2 linked regions of the Lonchura striata genome follow. The protein of the gene in region 1 interacts with the protein of each later gene in a biochemical or structural test. Links are inferred from orthologs where the notes say so. Each region holds a gene or a part of one and is shown in the gene's direction. Other genes may lie near its edges.

Region 1 (7,913 bases):
AACAGTGTGAAAACAAAGCTGTGGAATCTGGTAACTGATTAACTACTGGAGCACAGTACTGGCTGAGCTGAATAGAACGGAATGAAGACAGGTTTTGTCATGCCTGTTAGGACAAAATAACTCTTTAACTTAAGTAAATGTGAATCTTCTCAACATCTGTGTAGCTACATTTTTAAAAGCCCTCACATAACTATTTCCGTCTCCTAGGAATTCTTGATTTTGTCTAACTTTAAGCAACACAGTTACCATTCTCTTTTGCAATGGAAAAAAAACCCCATATCAGAATCAGTGGATACAAACCACTAGATACAAAATGTCTATACTGGATTATGTTAGATTTTATGGTAGTCACACAACAAGAAGCTTCAATTATGTTTACTGCCAGCTATTTCCAGGCTGATGCTAAAATTAATATTATTCTTTTGTAGAGTGCCAAGAAAAAGGCCTCCTGGGCTTCTTAAAAAAAATCAATGAATTGAAATAATTTTCTTATTAGCAGCGCTGTAGGTGTGTGTATATTTTTTTCCTCAAAGTGTGGATAAACAGAAAAGAACATAGGAAAATTTGGTAGTCTCACAGAGGCTGATAATATTCATCAGGAAAAAATGTTCAATTTTCTTATATTCTTGGTTGATTCTGCTATCAAATATGTAATGAAACTTACTAAGGGATAAACCATTCTCCAAATAAAATTACAGCTGGCTGAACTGTATAGTTTGCACAAAAACTCTGTGTAGAGCCCCTAAAATGCTACAAGATAGTGTTGATTTCTAAAGCTATAGGATTTTAACACAGAACATATTAAATAGATTTAAAATTCAAACTAAATAAACCACTTTTTCAAAATGCTGCTTGCCATCCCCACTCCAGTTTATGTGTTCAGTTTTATTTGGGTTTTCCTCAGCTGCCTTTTTTTTTTTAGGGGGCTGGATGCACAGGGGCTATTGTTTGGGGATTCTTTTCCTCAAATGGTAAGTATTAATTCCTATATGTTGCTTCTTTTCTGTCCCTGAATTCATGTTGTTCACTACAGTAAAAGGTAGGTGGCATGATTTTTTACACGGATCTGTTAACTTTTACTTCAGCCTTCCAAAGCTGAGATAAATACGTGTAACTACTCAAACTGGTCATGTTACCTTGAGAAACATCAGTATGAGCAAAACATTGTGTTAGCATGCAGCTAACACAAATAGGTGCTGCTGCTTAGAGCCTGAAGACCAGGAACACTGCACTGGGGTCCTGCAACAGCATCCCTCATGTTGCCTTTTTGTTTTTAACCCATCCATCAAGTCTTCCTAAGAGACCTGAGAGTTTGAGTTGAAAAAGCCCTGGCAGTTTCTAACTATAGATGAGGGGCAGTGAAAGCACTTCAAAGAAGAGGGCTCCTTAAAATGAACAGCATTACTGGCATTGGGGAATTTGATCTTGGCTCAGTTTCAAACATGGCTATACAAGCCCTTGAGAAGAATCAAATTCAACTAGTGGGGTGATGGAGTGGCTCCTCCCTATTTTTCCAGAGAAGGCAACCACCTGTGCCAGACAGCAGTGGTGGTGTCTGTTGTCTATGTGCCCTCCCAGCTGTACGAAATCATGCTACTCAGAGCACTTCCAGTTCCTACACTTCCAGTTAAATCTCATTTAGGTAGCAGCTCAACTGTGCCATATACTCATATTTGCTGCATCTGAAGTTGGGCTCCTTTGATGTCCTTATTGGCAATTGAAACATAACTGAAACTAACTGAAAATTGATAGTGCCACCTACTATCATAGGATTAAATTGTTGATACCATCCAGGTCTAAAATGGACTAGGACAAAATAAGATTCCCTTTTTGCAGAATTGCTCATGGATAAGTGTTCTGTCACCTAGTTCAATGGGCCACAGTATGGGTTATTCTGAAATCTGGACACGAGCCATGACACCACAGGAAGTTTCATATCTGTTCAAGCGCAGCAACAGTGAAGCATTTTTCCCACAGTTTTATTGTCTAGGTGTGTGTGTTTACTCTTACGAGGTGAATGAGATGCAGTTCCAGTCAGACTAGTCATCTTAAGACACTCAGTGTGGGAATGTGGAATATCAGACTCTCCAGTAGTTTTCTAGCACATTCAATGACCCAGGAATCTATTCAGTGGTCAACTATGTGATTACAGAGTACATAAAATCAAATAAATGTGGAAGAGAGATAAAATAAAAGTTCAACCGTTAATGTTAATCCCTTTTCACTTACTGTGGAGTAGATAAGGATAGCACTGTAGAAGACAGAGGATTTATATTGCTGTAAAGATCAACATGAGAGAGTATGAAAACAAACAGCTCAGAGTTTATTGGGAAATAAAATGGATGACATAATTATTTGCCAGAGTGCTTCCTATAAATAGTAAGAAAGGTACAGTTTATGGTAAAATATCTGATCAATCAGCCAGAGGACTATTTCATTGTTACTTATCAGATCTGTGTGTAGATTTAAGACATCTGCTTCTCTTAACATGAGGAAATGATTGCTTGCCTACATCACAAACTTTTAGGTTACAGAAGTTTCAAAAGTTGAATGAAAAGCTGCCAACAAGCATTATTTAGAAAGACTGGAGTGTCTATCACAGCCTATTATGGCATGACAGCTTCTTCCAAAACACGTAGGTAATTTTAGTTCCACCATATGTCTACTAATTTGATAATGGATTAAACTTACAATTTGATCTTACAATAAGTAATCTGCTGCTGAGCTCCTGAACAACACATTCATTTTATTTAAGTCAAAAACCAAGTGGTTAACAATGATGAGGAATGAGCAGAAAAGAACAAGATTTTTTCAAAATACTTCAGAATTCATGGTATGTACTTGATGGGAAATCAACAATATTCTCAACAATGGGGAACAATAGATTTGAAGCTTGAATCATGTGTCATCTCCTTTCTGACAGTACTTCAAAATACCTCAAAAATGTTGAAATAGTATTTCAGATCCAGTTTTATTTATGCTGCAGCTCCTTATTTATGATGTTTTCTTGAGACCTGAGTGATCTGAGTAATGTAAAAATAATTAGATGGAACAGCTACTAACAATTATGAAATACCTGAACACTTAACTTTTTAAATATTTCTATTAACGATCTAGAAAGTATATGTTTGCAGCACTGTCCCTTCCAAACTGATTACTATTATGTCTTCTAGTCATGCCACCAAGATGTCTCTGCAAGAATTCCTATACATACCAAAATGGTCCAGTGAAATCATTTAAGGCAGACTAGTAATAGTGAAAAACTGTGTTTTGTTTCTATTTCATCACTAAGAACTACCTAAAATCAAGGGGTTTATCTCATTGCAGACAGTAGGGCTGGTCCCAAATAGGGGAAAAAAATAACATTGAGAAGTAACAAAAAAGTTCAACAGCCTTATATTGTACTAATTATATGTGCCTACTGGTTTGCATACTTACCTAACACAAAAATATGCCTAGGCTGCTCTGTGGTACAGTAAAATGACAAGTCATAGAAACTGTTAAGGTCGAGAGAGTGGGGGGAAGCCCCCCCCTCCCCCCCATACTTCTGTGTGTAAGCCCCAGCAAGCAGATTACAAATCCTGGGGCACAGATAGATTTAACAGCACAGCCTCAAAGGCAAGGCCACTTCTGGAACAGTTGTACACCCTGGTGATCCTCTTGACATCTAAACCAGCAAGAGTTTCTTTCAGGAAGGCTGAGGCAGCATTTGTTTCAATGCAGGCTCCCGCACACCCCCTTGCTTTTCCAGAGTATTCTGTGCCTGCTGTGACACTGAACTGTGGCACCAGCTGTGGCCTGGCTTGTCCCCTTGGCTTTCTTCTGGCAGCTCTCTGTGGTAGCCCCAATTAATGGGCCAGAGAAGAGGACTGAGACAACACCTGGTGACATCGATGAACAAACATGAGCCAGCAGTGCCGTTAGGTGGCCAAGAAGGCTGATGGCATCCTGGCCTGTGTCAGAGAAAGTGTGGCCAGCAGAATCCTGTACCTGGCACTGGTGAGGCTGTCAGGCTTGGGCCCCTCAATTCAGGAAGGACACTGAGGCGCTGGAGTGTGTCCAGAGAAGGGCAGCAAAGCTGGAAAGGATCTGGAGAACAGGTCCCATGAGGAACTGCCGAGGGAGCTGGGGCCGTGCAGCCCTCGGGAGGCTCAGAGGAGGGAGCTGGGGCCGTGCAGCCCTCGGGAGGCTCAGAGGAGGACGCTGGGGCCGTGCAGCCCTCGGGAGGCTCAGAGGAGGACGCTGGGGCCGTGCAGCCCTCGGGAGGCTCAGAGGAGGGAGCTGGGGCCGTGCAGCCCTCGGGAGGCTCAGAGGAGGGAGCTGGGGCCGTGCAGCCCTCGGGAGGCTCAGAGGAGGATGCTGGGGCCGTGCAGCCCTCGGGAGGCTCAGAGGAGGGAGCTGGGGCCGTGCAGCCCTCGGGAGGCTCAGAGGAGGGAGCTGGGGCCGTGCAGCCCTCGGGAGGCTCAGAGGGAGCTGGGGCCGTGCAGCCCGGGAGGCTCAGAGACTTTACCGCTCTCTACAACCATCAGGGAGGAGCGTGCAGCCAAGTGGGGGTCAGCCTTTTCGCCCAGGCAACAAGTGACAGGACAAAAAGAAGCGGCCTCAGGTTGCTCCAGAGGCGGTTTAGGTTGGACGTTAGGAAGTTTCTTCACAGAAAGGGTGAGTAGACATTGGAATGGAGTGCCCAGGGAGGTGGTAGAGTCACCCTCGCTGGCGGTGCTAAGGAAAGACTGGACGTAGCACTTAGGCTGGACTCGATGGCCACTGTTGTGTTCCACCCAGCGAGTCCCGTGACGCTGTGACTGTCACCCCCGCACCCGAACCCCCCGCGACCGCCCGGCGCGGGGGCTCGGACCCTCACGCTCCCCTCTCTCGCGAGAGCAGCGCGGAAGCCTCGCGAGAGCGGCCCGCGGCCCCGCCTCGCCGGGCAGGCCAGGCGCTCGCTGCGGCTTTTCCTTTTTTCCCGCCGCTGGCGCGAGGAGCCGGCGGGAGCCAACCAGGTAACGGCGCGCGCTCTCCTCATCCCGCGCCGGGGAGAGACCGCGAGCGCCGCCCCCGCCCCGCCCCGCCCCGGGACGGCCCCGCCGCGGCCCCTCCGGCCCCGGTCCCCGCCGGGGGCTCCTCAGGCGCTGCCCGCCTGCCCGAGGGAGCCCCGTTCTCTCCGTCTGGCAGGCTCCCGCCGCTCGGGAGAAGCGGCGTGTGGGACATGCCATACCGCTCCTCCGGCGTCCCGGCTGCGGGGTGTGACCCGAGCCTGGCGGGAAGCTCCCAGGTGTTGGTCATGGCAGGATTTCCCAGAGCATCCCGGCGTGTCTCTCGAGTGAGTTTTCTGTGCGGTGTTCGTGCAAGAGGGGAAAGAGAACGAAGCCCACCGCCGGGAAGTGCAGGAGAGTTGCGTTTGTAGGAGCAGCCGGTGGGGACCACGGCGCCGTGTGCTCCCCGGAGTCCCGGAGGGGCGGTGCGTCCCCGGCCGAAAGGCATCAACGCCGATAAGCAGCCTCGGCGCGTTCATCCGTGCTGACGGACTCCCGCAGGCAATCGTTGATGAAGCCCTGGAAAGCCTGACCGTGCCGGCGGGAGTTGATTTGTGGAAGCAGAGGGAAATGGACGCGTTTAGGTGGTTCTGTGAAAGCGGCAGTCGGCAGGATAGCAGCAAAGCAGGACATCCGGGAGAGGGGCTGGCGCTGTGCTTCCACCCCAAGCAGCTTCCAGTTCTGTCCCTGCCTGCAAGTGTCCGTACATCCAGCCCTGCTGTTTTTTCCCCTAAGGACTGGAAAGCAGTTTCTTGGGGCTGGAGACTAAGCCATCATTTTTACACTTGTGCAGCTGCCCAGGCCTGTCAAAGGCTCGACTTGAGCGCTTCTTGCGAGCCCGGTGTTTTAAGAGATGTTGAACACCTGTAGGGAGCAATGTATCATTTTGGTATCTTGAAGCTTGGGAAAATGCTTTGCTCATTTTTTACTATTTGTAGTCGGTTGATGTCCGAATAATTTGCAGAAACTCTGAGCGGGTTTTGTGCATTTTTTTTATTGCAGTCATCTTAGGGAAAAAAATCCAAAAAAACCACTACAGACACCATTTACTGTCTAGACTCAGGTGACTTTTTCATGGAAATGAGTCATCTGACATACTTAAATCTCAAACAGTAAGTGAAACAAGCATGTGGTTTTCACTGCCCTAGTGCTTGACAGAAAAAAAGCTTGATCCTGAAACATCTGTTGAAGGTGCAAAGCAAGAGTTTAAATGCCATTCCTAATGTCACTAGGCAGTTGGTTCCACAAAGAAGTGTTGTAAGATGGTTTAATGTGGCTGCACACAAAGTGGAGCATTTCAGCTGCAAAGATGCAAGCAAATCACTGTCCAGCTTATGTTGAAAACGTGTAAGCATTGCTAATTTCAAAGGGTAATTTTATTTTCTACTAAGGAGTTCTCTGAACATTTGCTAACATGAAGCCATATCCTGAATTTGCTAAGGACAGAGCAGGTTAAAGCAAATGTGGAGCTGCTGGCTGCATTATTGTAAGATTTAAATATCCTTATACTATAGAAAACATACAGTTCAAGTGTTTCTGTTGAGAATATTGTTTTGTTCCATTGTAAAGACAGCCAGACTGAACAAAAGTTACTTAAAAGCGTGCACAGAGGAGTGAGACAGGAGAGTGGAACTGAAGCCTCCAGGCCCTACACTTGATCACTGACCAGTGGACTGAACAATTTATTGTGGTGAATCTGGGAGACCAGCTAAACCAGTAGCTGCATTTAGATACTCTTAAGTTGTTTAAAGGCTTTCAAGATGGGAAACGCAGCTTCTTGACTAGTCACAGACCATGTATCATCTGAACTTGTACCTCAAAAATTTTAGAGCAAATTGTTCCTTCCATTTGGCAGTATAGGCATGATGGTTTGCTTGCTCAAGTTGCTAATTTAGGAATAGTATGAAATACCTAGCTTTTTTTTTTTTCTTACTGCATTTTATATTACAATATCATAGAGATAGATATGTCCACCTGGTAATGAACAGTCCCTGTTCAGAAGTGTTTGTTTAAAATTGACTGCATAAAAATGAGGAATATCCATTTTCACACAGAGGGAACTGAAGGACAGAGATTACAGAAGTATTACAATATTGGACACCAGTAGTGTCCAGTAGAATTGAGTATTGGACACCAGTAGTGTCAGTAGAATTGAATCTTGCCTTGGCTCAGAACCAGATCTGAGTACCGTGCTTCCTCTGTAGTTGGCCTGAGGGCATCATCCCTGTAAAAAACCCTTCAAAACAACTGAGAATTATGGGTAAGATTATCCTAAATTTTGTAGGCAGTCACGCTTCTAAGAGCTATATGACTTTGATTGTTCTTCTCAAATATTGTTTTGGAGATTTATAGATTTTTGTGATTACTCTCCATTTTTTTTTTCATCAGGGAATTGGAATAATTTTAATATAGAATTATGAACACTTCAAGGGGATGTGAGTTTTTCTTTGCAAAAGGATGTAATTTGAATTTGAATCCAAATTTATGTAAACGATGTATATAGACAAATCCATCTCTGATAAAACTTTTGACAAATGCTTTTGCTGACAGCCAGATTTTGGCACTATGGCTTACTTTTGGAAAACAGGAATTCGGTATAATTCTATCTTTATATAAGAAAAAAATAAAGACTCTTAAGTGGTTTAATCTAATTTTAGGTTGATAACTTTTTAAGGGGAAGAAAATTCTGTTAGTTTGTAATTATCTGCGGCAAAATACTTAGCAGTGTCCAAGCTTTCAGGGTGGTTGTCAGTGTGAAAGTATATAAATATGTATCCTCAACAAGGATAGACAGTAAACTTTGTATTTCATCCATGGCTACAAGTGGTGCTCTGATAAATTCAAATGTGTTATCATTCTGTTGTTACAGACATACGCCCC
Region 2 (7,381 bases), on another chromosome or scaffold:
AAGGTGATCCCTCCCCTCTATTCTAACTAGAACTCAGACCCACCCAAAACGCCGTGTCTAGTTTTGGCTCCCCTGTCCAACATGGGCGCACTGGAATGAGTAAAGAGAGATCCCTACCAGACTGGAGAATCTGACATGGGAAGAAGGGCTGAGAGGGCTGGGATTGTTCAACCCAGAAGAGGCCCAGGGGAAGCCTTGTCAAGGTGTGTGAATACCCAAAGGGGACAACAAAGAAGATGGAGCCAGACTTCCCTCAGCAGTGGCCCATAAAAGTACAACAGGCAACGGGCACAAACTGAAATACAGAAAATTTCCTGTCAACAAAAAGTTACATTCTTTTAGTACCACACAGCAGACAAACAGGGGAATAGCTTTGCCACGAGAAGCTGGAGTGTCCATCTTGGAAGATAACTGAGAATAGTCTGGTCATGGTGCTGAGCAACCTGCTCCAGCTGATCCTGCTTGGAGGGCAGGCTACTGGACTAAATTGTCTGCAGTGGTCCTTTCTAACCTCAGCTATTCTGCAGACACAAGACAGAAACAACATGCACTTCATACAAACCTGGTCTCTTACATGTTTCCCTGGAACAATCCAAAAATTGCATTTCCATGAGAAATTACAATCTTATTAGATCTGTTGTATTTTCTCTGACAGAGATGCCAACAAAAGAAACCAAACACTTGCTCAGAGAAGGCACTGACATATCCTGTGCTTCTACAACTCTCCTGTTGCAACTTTTTTTTAAAGCACTAGCACATCAGCTAAGCCAAAACTGCTTGCCAACTAACAGCCCAGAATATTTTCAAAAGTGATCATTCCTGCTTTTGGGTCTTGCATCTTCCACTTTTGGGATCTTCACATATACAGCTTGCTATCACTTTAATAATTATTCATACTTTAAAAATATGGATGAATTATCCAGCTTCCTGTCATCACTTGTTTATTATTTTCAGAAAAGAACTCTGATAACAATGTTTGCATTCATTCATTTTCAAATTGCCAGCTTTCATCTTACATGCTCTCATCTGAGACTAGCAGAATTCCCCATCAGTAGGATTAAAGAAAAAAAAAATCCACAGCAGTTTGCAAGAAGAATAGCTGACAACCTTCTTGTCCTTGAGAAGGGACTGGAGGGTGTAGGGGGGAATATTCAAGAATTATTTTGTACACTTAAAGAGCTTCTCTAGATTCAGCTGAAGAACTGTATTTACTTCCCCTGAGCCAAACTGCTGAAGAAGGGCTCAAGTATTTCCACTCCAGTAGCAACCACAATTTAGCTCTGGAGCAGGGATTTCCCTCTGCAGTTTGAAGCACCCTTTCACATGGAAAGCACTCTGTGGAACACACTGTAAATGTAGAACTATTACACAACTATTATCTAGTGATGCTGGCATGAGGAAGCTAGAGGGAAGAAACAGGAAGGATATAAATACAAGTCTGCAATCTTTTCTATTTTACTCACATAAGGGAAAATCACCAGAGCTCCAAGAGCTACATCTGAGCTACTGTGCTGGTGAATAAAAAAAAAACCAAAACCCAACAGTTATACACATTCATTTTACACAGCATTTGAATAAACTGGAAATAAAAATTCAGATTCTCAGTTTCACAGAAACTTGTAGGCACTTGACTCCTAAAGATCAAAATGAGATTTCACATCAACTTACTTTAGTAGACTTTAGCCTTACTGTTCATTTCTCTGTGCTGCTTTTCCACCTTCACCAGTAAAATGTTTTGATATATGACTCACAGCTGAGAACATTTCAGAGGACACATTCAAAAGATTTGAGCAGACACTGTTCTGGTAGGTTTTTTTAAACAATGAAAAATGTTACCAAAGATTACAGGAACAACCCAGAAGTTGAATGGCTGCTGGGAAGAGTCAATAAACATCACCTTTGCTTAGAAATTGAGAGTTTCAGTGCAAGGGTGTCTCACCCTCTTACTATTTAGCTTGCTAACTTTACAAACAACATTCCATTCTGTTATGTATATTTTTGTTGAGGTATTTTAGGGGAAAAGAATGCCTGTGAAAATAAAAGAATTAGTCCAAAATATTCTCTACCTTTTAAATAGCTGGCACCTTGACAATTCATCTTAAGTCATAAGCACCACAACAAAAAACTCACTGATCCTCACTGCCAGTAATTTTTCAGGAATGTAGCAATCAAATCTGTGGTAACAACTCTAATACACCTAAAATGCAGTCTTAAAACGATGTTCTTAGCATTAAATGCCTTCACATTGTTCTGGCTATGGGAAGTGCCAGAGAGCTCTTTACAGCTATTTTAAAATTTAAGCCTGATGCTGTCAGGTTCAAAGTACTTCTGGGCGAAAGAATGGAGCCTTCACATGTAAAAGGAGAATCAACACTTTGTCCTTCTCCTTCTCAGACCCGAGCAGAACGGAGCTGGTGGAGGAGGACATGCACAAGAAGAACATGGCCAGAGAACCTGCAGAACCAACACTGTAAAGAGCACACAATGCTCAGCGTGTGAAGGACAGCATGATCACAGCACAACAAAGTTGACTTTGCACAAACATCTTCTACAGATGGCAAAATGTGGATACGCTGACACGAGAGATGTCTAAAGAAGCATTCTGCAATAGAGATCCTTCTCCCATGTCCTTTCCACAGCTGCTGCTATTTATGTGGTAAACCTCCTGTATACACAACTCGAGACTTCAAACAAAGGTTCCCGTTGATTCCTATGAGCATCATCCTTGCAGTTCAACAGTTCTCGGAGGCACTGAGCGTTAAGGTCATCGCCGAGTCCTTCACCTGCCTCACAACACCTGGTTAAAGCCCAAGACCACCTATGCAGCCCTGGAAGACCTCCATCCTGCAGGCAGACACAGTATGTCAAGGAACAGCTTTTCCCAAACTGTATTTTGGCTTATTCGGCTCCATAGCCCTCCAGTACGTCTGAACCTTTTTATATTTTAAGCTCATCTCCATCTTCGGGGGACCAAGCAGCCAGGGAACCATATTACACTGCCACCTCCACTCTCTCCCCTTTAACACGTCTCCTAACAACGCCACGTAGATCCAGATAATCACCTGGGATGAGCACGTCAGGCAGTCCTCGGCGTTCCTGAGGGAGTGCATTCCACTCACACGCCCCAAACCCTCTCCCCCAGCCCGGCTCCGTCCCAGCCCGCTCCCCCCTCACACCGCCCCGCGAGCACAAGGACCTCACTTCTCTCCCAGCTCCTTTCCAGCTCCTTCTGTGTCCCCAGCGTGGCCCGGGGGCCTCCCCCGTCCCCTCAGGGCACGGAGACACCAGGGAAGAGCCGCATATTCCAGGCACGTCCCTCTCCCTCCGCGGAGGGGGATGGGAACAGCAGCAGCGGAGCGGCACCAGCCGAGACGTCAAGCGGAGGAAAAACGAGGACAGGCGGGAACTACGCGATGGGAATCGCTCCCAACCTCCATCCCGCAGCCCCGGGGCTCCCGAGGCGGGGAGAACCGGGGGTAGAAGGGGCTCCCCCTCAGCGCTGCTCGGGCGGGACGCTGAGGGCGTTAACGCGCTCCCCCCGCGCCGGGGGGCGGCCCGGCACCCACCTTGAGAGTGGGGTACTCCTGCACCTTCAGAGTCATTGAGAGCTGAGCGGCTGATTCCTGCACCGCCATCTTGGATCGGGCACCGGCCTCCCCCGCCCTCCCTGCTCTCCCTCCCGCCCTCCTTCCCAGCGCGTCCCGGCGGGAGCTACCTACGGCGCGCGCGGCATACCGGGAAACGGCGCGCGCCCCGCCCCGGCCCTCATGGACGCGGGCCGAACCAACGCCGCGCTCTGCCCCCCCCCGCCACCGCCGCGGCTTGGTACGCTCCGCGGGGGCGGAGACGGAGGGAGAGTGACGGCGCGCCGGCCAATGAGCGGCTCGCTCCCTCACGTTCCCCCGCCGGGAGTGTCGGCACCGCCCCAGGGCTCGGAGAGCCGCGCCTGAATGGGCAGCGGGGAGGGAATGGGCGGGGCCGCGCCGAGGCGCGGACAAATCAAAGGGGACTACGGCAGCGGGATAGGCGGGATTTGGGGCGTTATGGACACCCAGCCACTCAGTGGAGGCAGAGAGCCGTTTCCCATGGCCCAATCAGAACATGCTCTGGGACTCAGTGGGCGGGGCCTAAAAGTAAATTTTGCTGGTGACTTCAAACGGCCGTTTTAACACCCCCGAGGTGTCCGGGAAGGGGAGGGGCGGGGCGCGGGGCGGGACGCGCTGTGATGGACAGCGCTTCCAGCCAATGCTGTCGCTTCTCGAGTTGACGGGCAGGCTGCTGAACCAATGACCGGTGCGTCTGGGCGGGCGGGCGGAGCGGCGGGCGGCGTGTGGCTGTGTGTACATCGGGAGGGGCGGGGCCGCCCCCGTGAGTTCCGCGGGGCGGAGGGAGCGAGTGGGAGCCAGTGAGGCGGAGACGGCGGGAAGAGGTTTAAATAGCGGAGACGGCGGCAGCCCCCTGCCCTCGGCTCCCCGGGCCGGCGCCGAGTTTCCCCGGTGAGCGGAGGCGTGGGGCGGGCGCAGCTCCCGCCGCAGCCGGGCCGGTCCCGCCCGCCCCGCGGGGGACGGGGTGGGGAGGGGGGCGGCTCCGCTCGGCCGCCGGGGTCTCCGGTGGTCCCTTCGCGCTCCCGCAGCCGCGCCGGGGAGCGGAGCTCGGGCGCCACAGGTGCGGGGTTCGGGCGGCTCCGGCCGGTCCGGGTGTGCGCGGGCTCCCGGCGGGCTGTGGATCTCCATGGCTGCGCTCGGAGGCTCTGCGTGACCCGCTGACCTCTGGCCGGCCCCTGTAAGGTGACAAGCACCGCTGTAAGCGAGCAGTAAGTCCTCTGCCGGACGTACGTGAGTGTTTCCATTAAAAAGAAAAACAAAAAACCAAACAGGGACGCGGTCCTGCAGAGTTTCTACTTGTGTGTGCGAGGGAATAAAGACGCTCTTGGAGTGTCAGTCCTAATGTAAAGCTGCTTTCTGGGTAAGGCGTAGAGGGCAGTGTCTCGGTGTTCGCTCCTCGCTGGTGCTCCTCAGTGGTGACACGGGCACTGGGACAGAACCTTCATCACCGCGAGCGTGCAGCAGAGGGGAAATGTGCCCGCAGCACCTGGGCGTGCAGTAAAATACTAACTTCATTCTGCTGCTGCCGATGTCAAAAGTTAAGTTTCTTGATGCACTGGCAGCAAATGTGCTTCAAGCAGTGTGCTGCTTGAGTTTGAAGCTTTAAAGAGACCCTAAAACCTGTATCTATCAATAACCGTGATGATTTTTTTTTCTCTCTAATCTTTGTGGCTATATTTTTACTGGGCTGCAGAAGACTGAGGGAAAATAAACACCAATACTTCCAGGAGGAGCGAACACATTTAACTTCCATGGTTTGAAAGAGCAAGTATATTTCTGAGAATATTTGGTGGCATTATTTCTGATGTGCATAGACCTCATTGCACTGAAAATATCTGTCCAGGAATGGGGGTAAATAAAAGGGAATGTGGGAAGTCATGTAGTTGAGTGTTAGATTCTCTTTGCCTCCCAATTCTTTTTACTGATACTTACTCACAGCTGCCCTAGCATTCAGCCTCGTGCTGACCATAACCAGCAAATGTATGCCTAAACATAATTTACCAAGCCCATACCAGTTGCAAAGCCTTTGTCTGAGAAGTGTGTTAGTAAAACTTTTGTGCTAGTTGCACCTGGGATTAGCGTTCGTGTCTAGACATGATCTTGGGACCAGATCCTGCAAGAGGATTTTTATAAGGGGGATTTTGACTCCATTAAGGCTCTGTGCAGGGAATGGTTCATCCTGGGCTGCTTGGGTGGAGGATCGAAAACTTTGCTCAATTGTTGCTGTATTTACAAACATAATTATGTGGCATTGTAAAATATTCCTGTTCTTCCTGTCTGTCTTAAATATCCTGTAAGCTAATATTTAGAAGGAAATTTGCTCTTGAGTATTCTGTGTGATTATGGTACTGAACAGCTTGAACCTGTCATACCTTGACTCTGTGATGGTTATAGGGATTGAAGAAGTGTGACTTGCCATGAAGTTGATCAAGTCATGTACATATTTGTCCAAGACACTTATTTGCAACAAGTTTTGTTTATATATAATCTCTTAATAGTCCTGATAGTTCTGATAATACAGTAGCTAGTTTAATGTAGCACAGATACTCTGTGGATACAGGTTATGTGCTCAGACTGTCTTTAAACTGGAGGGTTATTGGTGAGGCTTTCTCAGACGTTAGTAGCCAGAGCTAAAGGGGTTGCTTGATGGAACAGATGGCCAAGCAACCATCATGTCAGAGGAAACAGCATGCATTCGTGTATTCTTAGTTTAACACAAGAGGGAGCATGTCTAATCTTTAACCTTTAAATATTGCAACTTCAGGGAGAAAGCTTGAAGTGTTGAGTGTCAACTAATTTACGTTCAAGGCTCCATGTGCAAATATTGATACAACCTATGCATATTTCTGGCATGTTTTCAGCTGTAGTCTGCAGCTGTTGATTTATATTGTAAATGTTGGCATGATAAATGTGGGGATGAGAACTAAGCTAATGATCTTATGAAGTTGTTAAATTCTGTAGTTTCCTGCTAAATTAAACAAAATATTTATGGCTATTGTTATTCTTGGGTATGGTCATTAATGTACTATGGTTGTACTTTTTTTCCTGAATATTAGGCTAATATATGTCCTCTGCTTAACCTACCATACAAACTTACAAAGCTGAGTCTTAATCTAATTAAATTTAGTTTAATTGCCTATATGCCTTTGCTTTTAGAGTTCTTATAAATCCTACCACTTTATTCTTCAGTAGGAAGTATGAAGTTGGATCTACTAAGACGTTTGGTACTGTATCTTCTTTAGTTTTTCCTTGTCCACTGGTGTCATAAAAGGTAGATGAAAAATCAGCTTCCATTTTGTATTTCTTGGTTGTCCAGTTGAATCATAATGTGTTAATGTTTGTCCTCATTCAGTGTCTTGTTAATGTGAATTAGCAATTAGTTTAACTTAAGCAGTGTGCAGAGAATACTCCAAACCTTTAGGAGAACTTCACTCATTTTTTTTCCAATAGCCTTCAGCTTTGCTCCAGATTAATGATCAGAGAAAAACATTAAACACTGCATGCAAATGATGTATCTTTCAGGAACACAAACATTCTGTGTTATTTGGTGGAGCAGAGCAGAAACCTCAGTGCTCTGCTTTCATACGCTGAAGAAAACTGCTGTGAATTGAGATTTTACCACACTTGCTTCTCTTTCCTCTCTGGGGCCATTATAACCCCAGTGCCAGGAGGCAGAAGTGGGTGTGTGTCACCATCATTTCTTGTATTTGCAGACCAGACTGGCCTAAGGCACGAATATGAAGGCCTGTGCTGGTTCAGGTGGGAAGGAGCACAGG

What was found.
Region 2: the proteins of RBBP8 (region 1) and CTBP1 form a complex in vitro, tested with the Homo sapiens proteins (3 studies listed by BioGRID and IntAct). The link is inferred for Lonchura striata from reciprocal best matches to the Homo sapiens genes RBBP8 and CTBP1.

What each region holds. Positions count from the first base shown.
Region 1 is NC_134603.1:47,357,195-47,365,107, reverse strand, and holds the start of RBBP8 (DNA endonuclease RBBP8), read left to right. Parts: upstream 1-4,909; 5' UTR 4,910-5,000; intron 5,001-7,902; 5' UTR 7,903-7,913. UniProt on the Homo sapiens protein: Endonuclease that cooperates with the MRE11-RAD50-NBN (MRN) complex in DNA-end resection, the first step of double-strand break (DSB) repair through the homologous recombination (HR) pathway.
Region 2 is NC_134606.1:7,055,816-7,063,196, reverse strand, and holds the start of CTBP1 (C-terminal-binding protein 1), read left to right. Parts: upstream 1-4,372; 5' UTR 4,373-4,496; intron 4,497-7,381. Other genes in the region: E3 ubiquitin-protein transferase MAEA, read right to left, coding at 3,567-3,635. UniProt on the Homo sapiens protein: Corepressor targeting diverse transcription regulators such as GLIS2 or BCL6. Has dehydrogenase activity. Involved in controlling the equilibrium between tubular and stacked structures in the Golgi complex.